Daphnia pulex: one gene and its partners. Each later gene encodes a partner of the first gene's protein in a complex. Links are inferred from orthologs where the notes say so. Each region holds a gene or a part of one and is shown on either strand. Other genes may lie near its edges.

Region 1 (8,347 bases):
AAACGCCAGTCCATTGCCGGAAAGGGAAACGGAGAACGTCCTGCAGTAGTGTCAACAAGGCGCCCAACTAACTTGACATAATAATCCAATTCTGGCAGCCAATTCAAATCATCAGCTTGACGAGTGCTATAGTTTAAGTACGACTCGGATAAAGCCCACCCAGGAGGTCTGACATCTTTAAGAGAGCCCATGATGGAGGAAACCAGTTTTCGTTTTAGTAGTGGCCTGTCTCGCAGTTTACGCTCATAGTAATGCAACGTTGTGTAAAGGTAAGTGACTGGTCGATCGTGAAATTTGTACAAGCAGCCTAGGTGTTCTAGGATGGTTTCGAGCGATTTGGTTACTGGTGGAATCTCAGTGAAACGATGAATAGTGATGTCGAAAACGGGAAGGAAACGGAGGCAAACGTTACCAAAGTAAGTAGGGAGAGATTGGTAAGAGCCACCCTGGCCAATGCTTTCAAGCACCGATTCGGGAGGTCCAAAGCGTTCTGGAAACTTTCGCTGGAAAGCTAAATGCTTTTCGTGCCAATTGTTTTGACGCCAGTGCTCGGACGAATTATCTTTGACGAAATCTTGAACACGCGAACGGAACTGCGGTGTTTTTAGAAGCAGCAATTGAATGATGAAACAGCAAACTTGGGCTTCGTTACCTTCCAGGGGACGCCTAGTAATGAACAGCTCGTTAATTAAGAAAACTAGATTCACTATGCATTATAAATACTCACAAGGCCAGACAGAGAACGAGTCGCTCAATAGTCACGACGTTATATTGCCACACCATTTCGTTAAGCACGTCAATGCACTTGTTAACGTGTTGACCTTTGCCAGAATTGGCAAATTCATAAACCAAGAAGTCGCAGAATGTACGCAGGTGGCTGCCCAAACCTCTGGCGCCTATGCGTTCGATGCACTTGTAAGCTACGGGATTGATACGTTCCGTTTCAAGAAGTTGCTTCCACAACAAGCAAAGGAAAAATGGCGGATTGTTTGATTGTGGGGCAAAGTGAGCCGGCCAATCGTCTGGATTCATGGTCAATACTTTTCGGTGCTCTTCTTCGATATTTTGCTTCAACTGCTGCTTTGATTCCTTGACTGGTTGATTCGCTGCCTGTCCGAAGAACTCGGCTAGGGGTGGAGGAAAGCAGTCGCGTGTGTTACTGGACCAGCTATGAGGCGTCTGTTGCTGTATTAAAGTTAGCAGATCCTTGTACCAGCTGCTATGTTGCGTTTCACATCCAGCGACGCTGATTACTCGAGCAAGCGTTAGGATGAGCGCTCTGTTGAGTTCTTCCGAATCGCTTGAGAAGAGTGGTTTAATATCGGCAGCTGATCGCGAATAACTGTTAAAATAATGGATAATTAAACCAGAAATTAAGTTGTTGCTTTTGAAGGGTTCCAAATTATTACCAAGGTTGCATTTCTGCTGCACCAAGTAATCCTATAAGCCTCAAGGCCGCATTTTCAACACATAGTGTCAGCTGTGTTTGATGCTGTTGTGGCACTGCGCACGAATGCAACAGAGTTAACAGCTGTATGCGATATTGTGGTTGCATGTGGTGAACACGAAAAGTGAACATTTCCACCAGGGTATGGAAGATACCCCACGCTTGTGATTTCGAAACGCTAGTCATCACTTGCGTGATGAAGCCCTTGATACCTAACGACTCTATCTCAGTGTAGACCAATAGGCGGCTGTACGTTTCAACGAGGGCCGGAGCTAAAGGAACGTTCATTTTTGTTTGTGCGCATTTGATAACGTGCGTCACAATACTGAACAAAGAAAATGATAAGAAATTAATAAAGAAAACCTTAAAACTGTAAAGCATGTGAAGTGATTACCTATGAATGAGCGACATTTTAGCATGCACAGTCAGTGCGTCTAAAAAGGCCAGCGGAATGGGTGAAATGGGTCCTGTATTTGGCATACCACCAGCGCTTCCTCCTGCGTTCCCAGAACCTTTTTGGCTTAGGTTTCCGTGCAACGATTCCATTAGCGAACCCATAGGGCGAGCCAAACAGTCTAACGTCGTGGAGAATGCATTGCAAAGCAGAGCTACCCTGTAGTCCCCAGAAGGAGCACTGCTTGGGGGATTAAGAGCATTATGCTGTAGAAATTCTTGGTGATTTTTAAGTGCCTGAGGAAAATGTCTCTGAAGCAGAGTCGTAAAAGCTCGAGAATCCGTTTTCCCTCCAGTTGGGGCCGCAGGAGAAGGATTGGTGCCGGTAGCTCCGGCAGTCGACGCGGCCGCAGCAGCTGCAGCAATTTCTTTCTGGGCGTTTTGTTGTTCTGTCTGGGCTTTCTTGACAATATGTATCCATATACATGCAACGGCCATTTGATGTACGCAGATAGGTCGAGTGTAGTCCGGAACAGGCAAAGGTTCACGCTCAGGATAGAGTAGATCGTACAGCCGCAAAAGAGGCAAGAATTCGGCCAGAGGATTCTTCTGGATGCTGCCAGATATGTACTGGAGAAGAACCCACATTAATTGATCGCGCCCTTTGCGTAGTTTTCGTTCTGCCAATTTCTCGTGCAATAACGTGACTAGATGGGAAAATGAGGCGAACTGGAAAAGAACAAAGTAAATGATTTGGCTGGATAAGTGGTGCCAGAGCCAATGAGAAACGCCCAACTCGTCGGCGGCATCTGAATCCTGTTCAGGGGCGATTTCTGCACGTTCCATAGCTTGCACCAGTAGTTCTACAAGTTGTTCTTCCAATACTGCATGTCTCTGCTTGTGTTGCTTTTGTAAGCCCAGCATTCCACAAAGTACTTCACGGGAGTAGGGCTGCTCCAAAACGTACCGGATCAAGCGGGTCTGTGGCTCCGTATACTCTTTTTCATAGGGTAAATTCCCTTTCAAAGCAAGTTTGAGTGTACCCTGTTCCAGTTTCCAACTGTGGTGGACACCATGGGCAGAGGGGTCAACCACAGGGAACATCAAAGGTCTGCCAATAGGAGAGAGCATTTGCACCAAAGGGCGAAAGCTATCCACAACTTCTGATAATAGACCAGCCAATTTCCAATGAGGCCAGTCTTTGTTTTCTGGATACATTTTTCTTATTTCATTCACGATGAAATAGGCTGGCAATAGACAGACTTGGCGGTCTAGAATGTGTTTCAAAGTATGCTCCAATGCTGTTACATTTGGATATTCTGATGTTGAAAATCGGCTTGGCAAGAGTTGTGCCTTTTCCAGGCATGTTTTCATTATTTCTCGTACTCCTTTGTAATCCACATGACACACAATTTTCCTGATGAGTGAGAAGCTTCCCTGCCATAAAAGTGGATTTGCAGGAGTAAGCTTCTCATTGCCCAAAAGTGAGTCACATACTTTCCTATTGAAATAAAGGAATAAAAAGTGATACAGAAGGACATTACAATACATGAAATTGAATCTTTTACCGGGATGTTGCAATATTTGTGTTTACTACACTTTCCAGAAGTTTAAATAATATTTTTGAGTGTGAATCACTACTGACCCCAGAAATGACAGCAATAAACTGAGGCAAAATAGCATCTTGTGATTCAGCCTGAGAGTCATTCATCATCGCTATCAAATCTTTTTCCAAGGCACTATATTTAACTCCCTCATCCTTGCGTTGGATCAGGAAATCATTAAAAGCTTCTTCAATGGCATCAACTTTCTGTAATTTGACTCAAGCATTAGTATATTAGTTTTATTTTTCATTTGAAAAGATTATCATACCAATGCTTCCGAAACCAACGCTTGTACTTTACTTCCGTCCAATGCCATTTTTAGGCCGACTTTAAAAAGTAAAGTCACGCTTTACTGATATCAGTTGAAGATTTGATTCACAGGATAAACTTAATTGCAGCCAGACCTTTTAAAACATAAAGAAGTCAACAATGGGAGAAGATCAGAATACCGGTCGTGAATCTTTCAAGAAAAATATCGAAGTGCCAAACGTTGATGCGAACGCCATCTATCAATAATATCTAAACATTTGGAAATATTCAAACTCGCCGCTAATAAATGGGGAAAAATCTCGAACATCGAAGAACTGGAAACGATGCAAAAAAAAACAGCAATTAGGAAAAGAGAACAAGGGGACAAGAGTTCAATCAATTTGATAATAATCTCTCGTCATGGTCCCTTGTTTCTGTTTCATTCTTTCAGCTCCTGACCAGCAGACAAGAGTGTCGTGAGCTACTTCAATCCCCATTATTTAGCTATATGACTACTATGATTCATAAAATATTTTGATCTGAATTTAGACAATGATTTGATGAATTGCAAAATGGCAAAACCTTAGCACCCGGAAGGACGAAATCTAAAAATGTCTTATTTTCAAACATGAATTTTTAACTAAATAATAGAAAGAACACACGGAAACAACGATTTCCTTACAAGAAGAGTCCTTTTTGTAGCTAAAAACGAGTTTGACAGAGCGCTAAAGGCGTTTCAACCTGACGACAACCGATTGATAGAATGTGACTGAGTTGCTTTAAAGGAAGACTAGTATTAAAGGATAGTAGCCAAGCCCAGTAAGCTTTACACATTCGTTACAGTTACAGTATTTCTTATGTAATTCTTCTTTTCATTTGTCCATAATTACTGATCCTGTGGATGAACTTAAAAATGCATTCAGCAGCTGTATCAATGGTAATCTGATTACAACAATTTTCTTCTCGTCAAGTGTGGATTTTTCGATTCTTTCCTTATTAGAATCGTTTAAGCTTTGTTCTGCTTCTCGTCGCACTTACCTTGATTGTTCTGGTGAGCAGCAGCCCATCAGGTGTTCAAGGAGGTAAATAAATTCTTTCCTAAAGCCAGTAAGTAAATTTACCATTTAATTTATTAAATTATAGTTCGACAAGAAATCTCACAACAAACTGACCGGCCACAGTGTGTCTGTAGTAGACAATGGGCCCCAGTTTGCGGAACAGATGGGAAAACCTACGAAAACGAAGGATGTTTGAGAGTTCAAACTACGAAATGCGGAACTGAGCAATCGTTGGTTAGTGAGGCTTATGAAGGTGAATGTCAACAATCAAATTTAGCTGCGATTGGTGAACAACTTTGTACCTGCATCTTCGTGTGTTCCATCTGTGTGAATCTCTTTGTAAATTTTCGGAAAATTTGAATCTAGAAAAATGTGTAGGCTAATTAAATTGATACTAGATTTCTTTACGACATTCTCTACCTAATTTATTTGTTGCCGTTTCTTTCCATTGCAAACCATTGTCTTGCGCTGTTTTTTTTCCGAGAATTCTGTTACAATTTAATTCGCGGTACTCATAAATAATTTATTACGACAGCTTACACTTGCTCGTTAAGTGAAAGAACTTTTCGTGAAAGCTCAAACTCTGGACACGAACAAAGACGACTTGATATCCTAAAACCTGTTTAACAGGTTAAGTTAACTAATTAATTAGTATTTCCCAAACTATACTCTTCAGCGCCAGCATTTCACTTAGATTTATTTAACAACATTTATTTCACAACTAAAATATTCTTCTGCTGTTCTAGGACAACTTCGTTTTACCTGCCTGTGTGTAGTAGATTAATGTACACTACGATACTTTGTAGCGTGCTTTTTGGCGTTGTTATTGTGGTGACTATGTACGTTGGAAAGTTGCGTTGACCAAAACAAGTTGCACGAAATAAAACCTGCATGGAGAACCGTTTAGTTTGTTCGTCGTCAAATTCCTCCTTGCGAGTTGCGTGAGAGTATGCACTAGCAATCTCAAATCTAAACAGAAAACCGGTTTACATGTTTGTAGCCGCTAGCACTGGGCGTTTCAAATACTTTTACGACACTGGTTAAAGCTACATATACCAAATTCGCTTGGATAGTAACAAATCAGTTTCTTACAGTTTTGTCCAACATTCACATCATATACTCTGTAAAAAGGAATCCGAAAATAAACGGTCACCAAATTGAAATGGTATTATTCTTTAACACGCAATATGTACCTCCCCCAAAAGTGGCAATGTAATTGTGTACATACTTAATTATTTTTGTACGAAATTTCCGTCATAGAACCGATTCAGCGCAGCTCTTCTTCTCATCTCACTTGTTACTTTGATTTTGATTAGCTCTGGCGTCCAAGGAAGTATGAAATTACGCTCACATATTAATTTTTGTATAGATAAATAACTGTTATGTCATGTTATTTCTCAGTTCCACAAGACCAGGATCCTAGCTGCAACTGCAAGAAAAATTACGCCCCAGTATGTGGAACAGACGGGAAAACTTACTCTAACGAATGCGTATTGAGTGTCGAGACTAAAGGTATATGTGGAAAGACTAAGTCGTCCATCACAAAGGCTTATGACGGTGCATGCAAAGAAGCGAGCCCATAAAATGGCGGAGACAAATTATTTTCATTAAATAGTAACTCCAAAATTATAGTGATCCCCTCTTATTCATTATTGATTTCAAATACGAACAATGTTTTAGTACGTTTTCGTCACGCTATTTTATTATGATGACCAGTGGGCTTTTATATACTTGTGCTATTTGCTGTGCAATCCCACTCATTGTATACAGGCTTTTAAATACATCTAAAATTATATTGATTAATTTACATGACTGAGATGAGATTTTACTTCACATTCCATACCATATGTCTAACCTACGCATACCAAGAGCAAGAAAATCGAACGCTTTAGTTTAAATGCGAGGGTGATATCCGTTGAATGATGGGTGCATATTTAAGCGATCCTAGATACGTAGTTTCATTCATTTTTGAATCCACTAAATCTTTACAAAATGGCCGCGTAATATGTAGCCTACTGCGTAGTAGAATATAACTCGGTATGCAACCCGCGGGAACAAAGGATTTTGACAGAGGAAAATAGAGCAGGTTACAATGTTAAAAACATCATTGTTTTATGATTCAACAAAAGAATATACTTCCGCTTCATTCTTTCCATCAGTTTGTAGGTAATATGACGTATTCGTCGCGCCATTGAAATCAATAATGTTCTAAACATTAAGGCCTATTGGTTGTCTTTTTTCTCCGAAACGGAACTGAAAAACGGGGGTTATTATTTAAAAAAAAAACGTATGTTGTAACTAAAATGTGGAAATTGTTCCCTTGGATTTTCCCAACATGGAGATATTTAGAAATAATCCCCTTTGGCGCTGGGCGTTTGCAGTCTACAAAATCCTGATGAATCGAGGCACTACAGACGTATAACATAAACAGCAGTACTATATAAAGGTGTCCGTCGATAGACAACATTTTCAGATTTAAAACTTCCTTCGCTCTCCATCGACTCAAACATTTTTCTCTTGAAATGCTTCAGTTCTACTCAAAGGTAAATTATATTATTATTTTTGTAATTATCGGAGTTTGTGCAGACTCTTAAGATAACCAAGATTTTCATTCTTCCAACAATCTAGAATTTCTCATGCTCGTCTCTGTTCCTCATATTTTTCGCCTTAAGCATCGTGATAAGCTACGGACCCGGCGCTTGCGGAGGTGTGCATTTGCTAAAAGTAATACATCATATTTTTGAACTAATAACATTTGCGACTATTTAATTCATGTAGCGGGGATCGGCCGAAAAGCAATCTGTGTCTGCACGTTGCAGTACGAGCCAGTTTGCGCCACAGACGGGAAAACTTACGGCAACCTATGTGCTCTGGAGTGCGACAAAAAGAGCAAAGCTTACGATGGCGAATGTAAATCAACGAAGACAGTCAAGAGAGCGGCGGCTGAGTGTGGATGTCAATTCAAATTCGCCCCCGTTTGCGGAACAGACGGCAAAACCTACGACAACGAGAACTGCATGGAAGTTGAAGTCACTCAATGTGGAACTGTCATCGATTCACCCATCAGGAAGGCTCACGACGGCGAATGTAAAACAACACCCATCAAAGTATCCGAAACACAATGTGGGTGCCCGGACAACTTTGCTCCAGTTTGCGGGACTGACGGAAAGACTTACCCCAATGCGGTATGCATGATCAACACACTCACCAAATGTGGGACCATCAAAACAACTGTAACTATCGCTCGCAACAGCGCGTGTAAGTAATACAGAGAAACCAGGTGACCTTATTGTTGAATCACGTTACCTAGAAAAGCTATGGAAGAATTGAAATTTTTAATAATAGTACGAGTATTATTATCAGTACCCGATCGAAAAATGACCAGCATACTATTTATTTTATTTTTTTAAAACGCCAATAAAAATGTTATCGATCACCGATCTATCTGTTTGCTGCTTTCTTTTCTCGTTCGTGAATTACGATTTAGAATTTGCATATCTAGCGGTCACCTTGGAATGACCACGGAAAGGAAAAGACAAGTCTAGATGTATTTTTATACTTTTTGCTATATAAGAGAAAATGCGCAAAATATTTGC
Region 2 (5,483 bases), on another chromosome or scaffold:
GTTCAACGCTGCTGAACTACGTCGTCGCCTAGAAGATTCGCAAGCTGCTTTACACGAACTCGGCCGAGAAAATCAGAGTCTTCAGGTATAAATAAAAAATCGACAAACATTTTCATTTATAAATTGACAAAATGGTTTTCTTCGTTACATCAGATGGAAAACGCCAAATTGCAGGGCCGAAAGTGGGCGGATGATTCCGAAGTGAATGATTGTCTGAGCTGCCAAAAAGGTTTTAATCTAACGGTTAGGAAACATCACTGCCGCAACTGCGGCCAAATCTTTTGCAACGAGTGTTCTAGTAAATCGACTGCCGTTGGTAATAGCCGGAAACCCGTCAGGGTTTGCGATTCATGCTTTAAGGAGTTGACTATAAACTCTCCGCGCTAAAATACTTATTATATTCCGTGTCGCCCTCCCCCCCTTTTTTAATGACGTTAATTATGAGTGTTTATGTTCAGTTTACGATGATTGAAGTGCTCCATTTGAGATATTATAAGGGAGGCGTGTTTGGTATTCTGATTTCAATATGAAATAAATGTGTATTTGGTCTAGTCCTATTATCTGTTGTATGGGTGCGCTTGGCTGGCCGCTTTGATGGTTGTCTTGATAGTACTTGTTGTTTTCCCTGGAGCCGGACCAGGCTGTGCGCGTCCTGGACCTTTATATTGAAGACGATGTGTTGGAATTTTTGCAATTTTAGAAGCAAAGCAAGCATAATTAACTCACCAGGTTGAGTTGGAGCAGCTGTAGGAAGGGTTTTAAGGTTCTTGCCCAATCCCACAGCAGCAATCAGAGCGTGCGTATCGGCTATAATACAAGTGTGGGCTGCATTTGCTCGGACAGTAGCTTCATTTTCCCAATCTTCTCTTGAATGTGTTATTTGCTCCAAAACATGATTGACCACTTTATTCATTGCATTGATTTGCTTTTGTGCTGTCTCTGGTGGAACCTTTAACAATAAAGAAGTTGTAAGATTTTATGTTATTATTTCTGTTAAAAGTATTCTTACCTGTAGAGCACGTTGTTCAAATTGATTTTGACGTTGTTCCACATCTGGATCAGGTTTTGTTCTCAGCATATCAGGTGTTATGTCATGTGAAAAGGCCACAACACGCCCTTCTGTTGCTTGTTTGAGCTCTACAAATAAATGTTTGATGATAATCACTCATACCAGCAAGTATGCATAGTAAGTGCAACTTTACCCTCATCTGGATCAGGGCTCAAAACTAGAGGTAAAACTATGAGGTTTCTCAAAAGTGGAGTTTTATCATTCTTCATAACTTTCAGCAATGTATTCATCTGGTTTGACGATTTAAAATTAGTCTGAATTACTTGCTAATGTCTTAAGCATAATTTACCTGGCCAGATATAACGGCGTAGCTATCCAAAACAGAAGGCCAACTGAGGGATCCATATTCATTTTCCAAACGAAATAACAGAGTTCGGATAGAAGTCTTTAGGTCATTAATTCGCTGAAGCAAAGCTTCCAAAGCGGCTTCCTGATTTGAACGTTTTTTGTAAGTTTGGGATGAAAATTTACCTCAATTCTTAAATTATATAATTACCAGCTGTTTCTCTTCACGCTGCATCTTGGTTATAAATTATGAGAAAGCTCTTTTAAGTTTTAATTCACATAAACTGATGTGATGCTTTTGTAGCTTGCTGCTTGCTAGCTTCAACCAAATGTCAATCACAAAAATGTCGTCTGCGTTTGTTGCATAAGCCCTCTAGTGTCAAATTATCAAGACTTAGCCATTCCGTTGGTTCGTCTGCTTGAGAAATTATTTGTTCAAGTTCTCATTATCATTTAGGTCGAGTAAAATAGTTTTTCCCATAATAAAATGCCGTTTATGAAAGGTCCTGCTCCGATCCGAAGAACTTTGGAGTATTTAGACCGAAATAAGTTGGTGTTAAAGGATAGAGTCAAGATATTTTCGATCAACTACAACACAAAAGGTGAAAATCACGAAGGTGCCCGACAATTCGTGTTTTGGCACTTGCCTCAGTTACAGTACAAAAACCCCAATATTCAGATAGCTACCTTCAAGAACTTGACTCCTAGTCCATTTATACGGTGTTATTTAGGTAACTAAAAAAATATTACATTTTTTTCAAATAAGTAACAAATTTCATGTTCAGAAAACGGGGAAGAGGTTCTAATGGATGTTGATTTCAAGTCAAAAGATGAGATCTATGAAAGAGTACGCAGGATTATTTGCAAATCAGAGTAAGTTGTTGAAACAATTATGTAAGATTAAATGCCAAATAATTATTAATTGATTGATATCTAGAGAAACACTGAAAGCTGAGGATAAAATAGAAAACCCAGCTAATTTTGGAGCTAAATGCAGCAGACATTGCATCTGTGAGGTACCTGGTCAGTTACCTTGCCCAGCTCTTATTCCTTTGCCAAATAGTTGGAGAGGAAAGTACAAGTTTCAAAAGCCAGATGAATTATAAATGAATTACAATTGCCCCACAATGTAGTCAAATAAAAAAAAATTTTTGAGAATATTATGCAATTCTGCTTTTATTATTAAACTGTTTGACAATTAACGTAGTTATTGCATTTGAGGAGCCATTAAGTCCATGTCGACACACTCGCGTGCAATCTTTACTCCCAAGGCGAACAAAGCCACGCTCTTCACCAACGACCTAAGATAAAAAAAGATTCTCTTAGTGAGTGTTTCATAAGTTAATGGGATTATATAAAACTTACCATCTGAAAGGGTCGTTGTAAAAACTTTTAATGAACTGCATTTTACCAGCTTTTTTGTTTGATCTTTCCATAGCAGCTTTTAAGATTTACTTTGGTTGTGATAAGCTTGAGAGTTGAAGCAGACGGTTTTTCTGATTATCGACATTGCGAAGTATGCATTACGCAAATAATTGATAAAAACTACTTGGAACTAGAACCAGAAAATTTAATCATTTTGCAAGTGTTAAATTAAATTGTATCCATAATGTTAAAAATAATATGATATCAATATTGTTGAATAATTTTTTTTGTTGTTGCGAGAATCGTTCCTCCTTTGTTTCTCGATCGTGTGATGTCTGCTTCTGTCAATTCTCGGCTTCTCGCGGTCGTCTGAAAAGTGAAAAATGAATTAGCCCCTCGAATAGCTAGTTGTTGTTGATTCCGAATTTGACAAAATGGACTTAATAGAAAATATGACATTTCGAACACCAAAACAAAAAGCTTTGGTGTTACAACTTTATAAAGATCTTAAATTCGGTATAATGTTTGTTAATATTCTGTTGTTGAATTTTCTTTTCTCATAAACTGTTTTAGTTAGGGGGAACGAAGATGTGAAGATACATCAGTGTGATGAGTTGGATTTAGTGTACATTACAGGATACTTGCCTGATGCTGAGAGACAACAGGAAATCTTTTTGCCATTAGCTGCAGATGAAGCAATTTCAATGAAAAAAATAGGAGAAGTTCAAAAATGTCTGTTTCATCGACACAAATCATCAAGGTAAATTATTGTTTCATCTAAGGCTGCTCAGGTTTAAACAATCAGATTAATTATTGTATTTGATTCACTTAAAGACTGACTTTGGCACTAATGGATTCTGATTCCACTACTGTTTATTTTGGTGTAACACCTGGCTTATTACCTCCATCAGATTTGGAGGGTAGGAAATAAATTGATTACTCATCACATAATGAAGACAAGAATTTATTTTTTATTTAATAAATCAACAATTTTACTAGTCAAATACTGCCCATGCCTCATCTACTCCCTTCTTAACCTTTTCATCAACAACTTGCTTAAGTTGGTCATCACTGACTGAGTGAGCCCAAACTGGAATAGCTGTACTTGGGAGAGTTACTTTTGACATTATTGATTTTATAGTTTCAATCTGTGTTGTGTCAAGTGGAATGCTAGGTTTATCATTTGGTGTAACAGCAGGAGCAGATGTTGGATTTTCTATTGTAACAAGGTTGTGATAGTTATGGCTTGTTCTGATCTGGAATTCTTGTCCATCATAAGTGCTGTATCCAAATTCCACACAATCATCATCTTCCTCTTCACAGAGGGAAGTAGGGAGAAGTTCATATCCATTCTCTCCTATTTGTTGCTCTTCAGCAGCAGTGTCTTCTATTTCTGTCAGATCTCTGCAAAAAAAAAAACAATTTTAACTTGTTAAAAATATTTTCCAGTGTTAAATTTGGACAGAATAAAAAAATGGACCTTTCGTTAAAATCACTGTTAAACTCATCGTGAACAGAGTTATTTTCGTCTATGTTATCAGGCAAACGACCAGAATCTGGTTCAGGAGAATTTCCCGTCATTTCCTTTTGAACACAAACTGTATAAAGCGAAAACTCACAAATTTATCAATCAGAAGACTGTAGACTCCCACAAACAATGTCCAAAACAACGACAATTGCAAGCCAGTGACAGCTCACAGCTGATTATATATCGACGATTTTTAAATGTTATTTTGCGATTGTTAAGCAGAAGCAGACGAAATTTACTTATTTACAACACAATAAATTTAAATGAAAAGTAGGCCTAGTCAGAATTTTTCTTAAAAAATTATTATTTACCACAGTTTATTTGACGATTAATTTAATAAAATTCTGCATATTTTGTTGCAGTCCTCTTTTTGGCGGTTGTCAAAGAGGGTAATTATGACAATTTTGTTTCTAGGAGTCTTGTATAGAAAACTTTCAAATCACACTCACAGCATCGTGTCGCCCAGTCTCATCTCTAGAATGCATTCCATGTCATTTATTACAGCCCCAAACGAAGAAGTGGCCAAAACTATTGCCCGGTTTGTTCACTTTAAATTGCTTTTTATTAATCTACAATAATAACAAAATAACATTTCTAATTGACAGAGGTCTTGTTTCTGAAAAACTGGCTGCTTGTGTCAACATAATTCCAAAGATCACATCTGTGTAAGATTTTTGAAATACAGTTACATTTTCTTTACATTCATGATGATTTTTATATCCATATTTTTTTATTCAGGTACAGTTGGGAAGGAAAAGTTAATGAAGATTCAGAAGTCTTGATGGTAACAGTAGAAATATTAATTTTATTAATTTTATTTGAAATCAAAACTATACATCATTTTCTTAAAAAAAGATGGTGAAAACCAGAACTTCGAGACTACCAGAGCTAACAGAATATGTCAAGTAATTGTTCATGTAAAGCAATCTTATTGAACTAGATGAAAGATTTTTTTTATACATTCCACAATTCAGAAAGAACCATCCTTATGAAGTTTGTGAAGTAATTTCCACTGAGGTAGACTTTACAGACAAATCACAGAACATGTTTTCCTACATGTAAATGACCCTTTCCTATGTAAATAAGGTATATATTTCATTTTTAGATCTTACAAGGGAACAAACCATATTTGGATTGGATTTTAGAATCTGTACCTGAAAAGGCCGAGTAAATACTATTGTCATTAGGTAAAGTTATAAAGAAAAAATAAATGATTCATGAATTGTGCTTGTCATG
Region 3 (5,450 bases), about 230 kb from region 1:
TTGGGATGGATCTCATCAAAAAATTGTTCCATTAGGATATTGTTATAGACGGGAACTGGGCTGACTTTTCTTTCAGTCATTTTAAAATTTACTCTACTAACGAAAGATGATCACGTGTAAAAACTTGCTTTGGCTATAACAATTGAATGTTACCTGCAAGGCGAAATGATAAAACTAATAACTATCGATAGACCGGTTCAATATACAGTTAAATTAACAGCAATGCACTTACCAAAAGCAGAGAATTAACTTCAACGGTATTGTTGTTTCGAATCAACTTTCAAGAGGAAAAATTTGAAGGAAAAATATGTTACAGCGACTGCAGACGGACTAAAACGAATAAACAACGTTGCAATTTGATCTAGATGTTTAATTTAGGTGGATCATCAACATTTATCAACTAAAATACAAATAGAAAAATCTATTGCAATAATTATTTTAAAATAAAAATTCTTAAAAAAAAATAAATCACCGAGATTATGTTTGTCCCAAAACGATTAAAAATAAAACAGCAGACTATTTTACATCAGAAAGGCGAGTAGATCGAATGTATTTTCCACTTTGAATAAACATAAAATAACACAGAATTCACAAAGAATCAATCATTTGACACAGAACACGATCCTCCTCAGTACACCCATTCCCAGAAGTTTGGTTGCTTGCATTGCCTTCTGAAGGTTGAACCCGTTCAACATCTATAAGGAGCTTGATGTTGCCTTCAGTTGGTTCAGGAATTGTGTTGACAGCCTGCTGAACCAATTCCCAAGCTTTGTCAAAATGTCTTCTGAAACGCTCTGCAATTTCCAATCTTTGTCGTTTTTGTTGTTCTAGCATAACTCTAAGAGTTTCCCTTGCTTGATGAGGCCGAAATTCATTGACCAGATGATGCATGTGAATGAAAAGCAAAGTGAGGTCATCAATTTTTGTGGCTCTTGCTTCAGACTCTGGATTTCGTATGCAGATATCAACCAAGTCAAGGAAACTAGCAGTGATGGAGTGATTGAGCTTTTTCAGTTCTCTTCTGTGGTCATAGTTATTAGGGTACAGACGTCGTATATTCTGGAATAGTAAAACGAGTATTAAAGAAAGCTTTGATTAAGAAAAAACTTCTATCACCTGGCTTTCAAGAGGTCGGATCACAGCATCATCAGTATTATATGGATTACCAAACATGGAATAATTGTCTGTGATCGGAGGAGGTGGTCTCGGTGTTCTTCCTCTTTTAGCGTTTTCTTCATTAAAAAGACTGACATATTGCATCGGTGGCAAAGGTAATGAACTAACTTGAGCCGTTTCTGACATTTTTACTTTCCCACTGGAATGAAGCAATATAGTAATGTAAACAATATAGTTTGTTTTCAAGAATGAAGAATGTGACGTTTTCTAGTTCGTTTGCTTGGGGATTTCAGCAGACTATTTTTTGATCAATGTTCTCCTTTTTGTGGCTGTCCCGACACGCCATTCTTGAATGGAAACAAATTTGATTTAGAATGTTGTAAAAGAATTCAATTTTACATTAAATTGTCATTAAATCAATTAATCGTTGTTTATTTTTTTATTTTAAATGTATATTTCCTCGATTTTATCGCTAATTTTCGGAGGAAATTAAATCCGATAATAGTTGTCGGCAACTGCCGCTAGATCTGTCCGAGTTGCCAGTATTTAGAGAGGTTTGGAGAGCTTTTTCTTCGTCCTGCTTTCATTCTCTTCGTACCAGGGTCCAGGGAGAAAGACAATGAACGAAGTTATAACAGCTTTATCAAGTGGGGACTACTTTTTTGATTAGTGATCGTTTTGTAAGTATGTTTAAAAGCTCTGCCAAACCTCTTGCAGGTGAGGTAAAAAAGCAAGGCAATTTAGTGAAACGATCACAGAACAAGAAGAGGTTTAGTTTGATCAACTACAAGAGTCGATGGTTCGTCCTTACCACAAAGTTCCTCGCCTACTACGAGGGCGAATGCGAGGTAAGGTTTAGTTCTACTAAACACGCATGGACTGTGTTCGTGAATCCCTTCATCACTAATTCATCACAACCATCAATTCCAAACAACAGAATCGCAAAGGAAAAGAAAAGGGACGTGTCGACCTCCAAACAGTGAAAGTTGTGGAAGCTGTTGATCCAGCACCTGACACACCTGCCATCGGTCCATTGGCAAACCTTACAGGTTCCATTCCGAGTGATTTGAAGGGATCTCCTGCTTTTCAGATAGTGTACAATCCTTATGAGTGTAATGAAGGTTGTAGTGCAACAGACTTGACTCTTTGCATTTTCACTCCCACTCAGCAAGAAAGAGATATCTGGCTTTGGAATATCCGAGTTGGTGAGAACATTCTCTTTTGACGTCTCAAGTAGTTATGTGTGACAAATAGCAGTATTTATCTCACATGTTCATTTTATCTCATCTAATAATTTATTTTATTTTTCTCCTGATAGTGGTCAAAGACAGTGCTCCTCTTGTGAATGTGTATCACCCTGCCCTGTGGGGGAATAGAAGTTATCTTTGCTGTGGATCAACCCAAAGGTCCACGTCTAAGGCAATAAACGGTTGCCGTTCTGTAACTTGGGCTCCCAATACACTTCAACACATGGGCATCAATTTCAGTAACATCATCCACCATCCGTCTCCCTCACCAAGTCCTGTCGCTAAACCTGCGAATGGGGCTGAAGTCGAGGCGGCCATGGTCAAACCAACGGCGATTAAACCCACGACGGAAATTCATCCGGCAATCGTCGGGGATGTTGTTCCTGCATCCCCTTCCACTTCTCACAACGCCGTTGTTGCGTTAGGTACTATACCCGCTTATGTATCCTACTAAGTGCTAACTAATGATTTACACCCGTTCGTTGCCTGCAATACTTCTAGGAAACAGTAGTTGTACGACTTCTAAGTACATGAACAACAGTTAATGTTGAGTTATTTCGCATCAAATCCTTAGTCAAGGACTTTGGGAGGGAGGGGGATTTAAGCCAATAGAAGCACATTCTAAGAAACTGCGTCGTTGGAATAGATTCAATTTGTTTTCCTTGTAAAAAAAACTAAATGGATAAAGTTATTACATCCACTTCACTTGCGAAGCTAAATTATCGGATAGCTGAAAAGATCAACTAATTATTAGAAAACTAGAGAAGTGAGTGTTGCGTGTGGCGCTGCAGTGGTTTAGAGAAAGAAAACTTGTGTGAGATTGGTACTGGCAATATTCATGAAAATTTTCTCTATTGAAAAATGTTGGGGATTTGCGGTCGGTCGGAGAGAAGAAGACCTAGAGAATGCACACAAGCTTGTTTTTCCCCGAGATTTTTTTATTCCTTTCGGCGGTTTTTAGTTCTAGCCCTCTCCCTGTACTCAGTGGGCACTGACCGCGTCTCTCATAAATCACGTTTCTTTTTCTCTAATGACGAGAAGAGGACTGCACATCTCATCAAGTCCCGTGTGAGAGCGAAAGCAAACGACAAACTGGACTATTCCTACGCGAAAGTGTGGGAGAGATGATGAAGCCAGCACAGCACAGTCTCTCATATCTCTCAGAAAAACAGCCTACGTTTGTTTCATTCAGATACTGAAATAGTTACCTGTCAGTTCGATTAGTGTTGCGCTTGTGTTTACGAGATAAAAAATAACGTGAGAATTATTGATAAGCTTCCACCTGCTGCCTTGGTCCATTGTTCAAATCTATTTTGTTGTAGTGCAAGTTTTGCAGTCAGCTCGCCCCTACCTATTTTGTTTCTCTAGTTTCAATGCGTGTATGTAAGTTTTACGTACATGGCTGATGTTTCAGAGGTTTTAACGGGCAAATTATGCGCATTTTTGGTTGCCGCTGGCCTATTTGGTCCACAATGTCTTCGGATTCTCTCTCTTATAAGATCACCGAAAGTAAATTGACTCTAGGTATGGTTCGGCTTCACCGTGTTGTGTTGTTTTTTTCTCTCATCGGTTTTCTTCTCATGTTACTACCCTTGAGCAATCGAAAATCGCACAGGCTATTCACGTTGACTCCCACCTGAAAGTCACCTGTTGAATGACTCAACAGGTGTTCAATGCGTTAAGTTACAATCGTAAACCATCGCGGTGGGTCTTTATGTGCACTTGGGTTTGGCTTGCCTTCCGACAAATTTCTGGAATTCAATTTCTAATTTTAATCTGTTGTATTTGAATGCTTGCGAGGGCAATCATTTCTTATGCGGTTGTGTTGTATGGAAAATATTTACATTTGTGATTTATTGTTTTCTTCGGGATTTCCCTAGTCCCCTTGCAGAAAATCCAGTATGTGAGATTATACCACAACTTATCTGTTGTCCGTTAATTCCTGTTTTCTTGGTTTCAACGTTTGAAAGTAGTAGTAGCGATAGAAACTTGTCGACAGTCTTGTGTGGTTGCGTGTTTCAATTCCCTCGAGCGTATTCTAGTGCCGTGTGTGTGTAAAGTGAGTTGGATGTTGATTAGATTCAAATCGACGGGAGCTCGGCTGACCTCACCTCCTCTTTCGTCAGCCAGAAATGGTCCAGACTGGACGTTGCAAGTTTTTCCTTTTCTTTTTTGGGACTATTAGAATAACTATTAGAAAAGTAAAAACCCGTCCTTGTTTACGAGTTTCTGACACGCGTACAATTCAAAGGAGCGCGTTAAAGAGAAGGGGAGAAAGTTCCCTCCTCAATTTCTCATACCGGTATCGAGTCTGCTAGGAAAAGCCTTCCTTATATCCATTGTTCGCCTGTGGTTGAATAGAAGACGCAGCAACGATTTCTCCCACACTCGTTTCTCCCATTCTATCCTTTTTTCTCTCTCTCTCCCCTCTTTTTCTCTCTTCTATCCCATTTTTTTATTTTATTTTTAGTTGTGTTTTGTATCCATCTCCAAGCCCTTGAAACTCTTAGGTCGAAGACTACATATAGACGACAGGCCTATTTTGTATGCCAAGGACGGAAGGTTATTATACGGCTGTGTATGTGTGTGTGTGTGTCAGTACATCCGCCAAATAAGCCTTTGAAAAGAAGAAGAGGAACAAAAAGAACCCCCCTCTCCCCAGCTTCCCTTCTCCCAAGTTCGATGATAATTCAGCTCTACGATGAAAATTACCTTTCAAACCATAAGACACCCCCCATCGTCTCTTGTTCGCTATCGTTGTTCTCCATCTATGTTATTTATTTTCCTTTAAACCGCCACTCATCGTGCGCTTTATTCTTTTTTCACCATTAGGTTCTTCCATCCCGACTGAACCCGCTGTCGTGCCTAAGAAGGTATGCAGTCAAAACGAAAGATTGACCCTTATTCATGTCTTGTTTATTTGCAAAAAACTAATCGTCGCATTCTTTGTGTTTACCTTTTGGGATCTTCCGTCCAGGTTGTGGCCCTCTACCCATTCCAGGCTATCGAAAGCGGGGACATATCCTTAGAAAAGGTAATTGAACTCGGCACCCACATATTTTTGGTGGGACCTGTGATTTCGCTGTC

The links.
Region 2: mediator of RNA polymerase II transcription subunit 23-like (region 1) and mediator of RNA polymerase II transcription subunit 8-like share a complex: the UniProt entries of both Homo sapiens proteins name them as parts of the mediator complex. The link is inferred for Daphnia pulex from reciprocal best matches to the Homo sapiens genes MED23 and MED8.
Region 3: mediator of RNA polymerase II transcription subunit 23-like (region 1) and mediator of RNA polymerase II transcription subunit 7-like share a complex: the UniProt entries of both Homo sapiens proteins name them as parts of the mediator complex. The link is inferred for Daphnia pulex from reciprocal best matches to the Homo sapiens genes MED23 and MED7.

What each region holds. Positions count from the first base shown.
Region 1 is NC_060019.1:10,878,681-10,887,027, forward strand, and holds part of mediator of RNA polymerase II transcription subunit 23-like, read right to left. Parts: intron 8,192-8,347; exon of another isoform or gene 8,018-8,191; coding exon of another isoform or gene 7,530-8,017; intron 7,459-7,529; coding exon of another isoform or gene 7,380-7,458; intron 7,295-7,379; coding exon of another isoform or gene 7,198-7,294; intron 6,467-7,197; coding exon of another isoform or gene 6,432-6,466; intron 6,332-6,431; coding exon of another isoform or gene 6,153-6,331; intron 6,085-6,152; coding exon of another isoform or gene 6,012-6,084; intron 5,917-6,011; coding exon of another isoform or gene 5,914-5,916; exon of another isoform or gene 5,758-5,913; intron 4,919-5,757; exon of another isoform or gene 4,837-4,918; intron 4,793-4,836; exon of another isoform or gene 4,694-4,792; intron 4,631-4,693; exon of another isoform or gene 4,333-4,630; intron 3,849-4,332; 5' UTR 3,761-3,848; coding exon 3,713-3,760; intron 3,651-3,712; coding exon 3,409-3,650; intron 3,342-3,408; coding exon 1,842-3,341; intron 1,773-1,841; coding exon 1,410-1,772; intron 1,343-1,409; coding exon 728-1,342; intron 667-727; coding exon 1-666. Other genes in the region: ovoinhibitor-like, read left to right, coding at 5,914-5,916, 6,012-6,084, 6,153-6,331, 6,432-6,466, 7,198-7,294, 7,380-7,458, 7,530-8,017. UniProt on the Homo sapiens protein: Required for transcriptional activation subsequent to the assembly of the pre-initiation complex. Component of the Mediator complex, a coactivator involved in the regulated transcription of nearly all RNA polymerase II-dependent genes.
Region 2 is NC_060023.1:11,384,551-11,390,033, reverse strand, and holds mediator of RNA polymerase II transcription subunit 8-like, read right to left. Parts: upstream 1,728-5,483; 5' UTR 1,590-1,727; coding exon 1,566-1,589; intron 1,500-1,565; coding exon 1,359-1,499; intron 1,300-1,358; coding exon 1,203-1,299; intron 1,138-1,202; coding exon 1,010-1,137; intron 950-1,009; coding exon 727-949; intron 659-726; coding exon 558-658; 3' UTR 520-557; downstream 1-519. Other genes in the region: early endosome antigen 1-like, read left to right, coding at 1-85, 154-387; probable 28S ribosomal protein S25, mitochondrial, read left to right, coding at 1,842-2,085, 2,140-2,227, 2,292-2,460; male-enhanced antigen 1-like, read right to left, coding at 3,715-4,123, 4,200-4,300; protein CutA homolog, read left to right, coding at 3,154-3,235, 3,293-3,479, 3,554-3,639, 4,662-4,785, 4,853-4,912, 4,986-5,031, 5,103-5,152, 5,222-5,264 and 1 more. UniProt on the Homo sapiens protein: Component of the Mediator complex, a coactivator involved in the regulated transcription of nearly all RNA polymerase II-dependent genes.
Region 3 is NC_060019.1:10,644,966-10,650,415, reverse strand, and holds mediator of RNA polymerase II transcription subunit 7-like, read right to left. Parts: upstream 1,439-5,450; 5' UTR 1,303-1,438; coding exon 1,117-1,302; intron 1,060-1,116; coding exon 589-1,059; 3' UTR 520-588; downstream 1-519. Other genes in the region: tyrosine-protein kinase Btk29A-like, read left to right, coding at 1,803-1,964, 2,054-2,321, 2,435-2,788, 5,196-5,236, 5,341-5,397. UniProt on the Homo sapiens protein: Component of the Mediator complex, a coactivator involved in the regulated transcription of nearly all RNA polymerase II-dependent genes.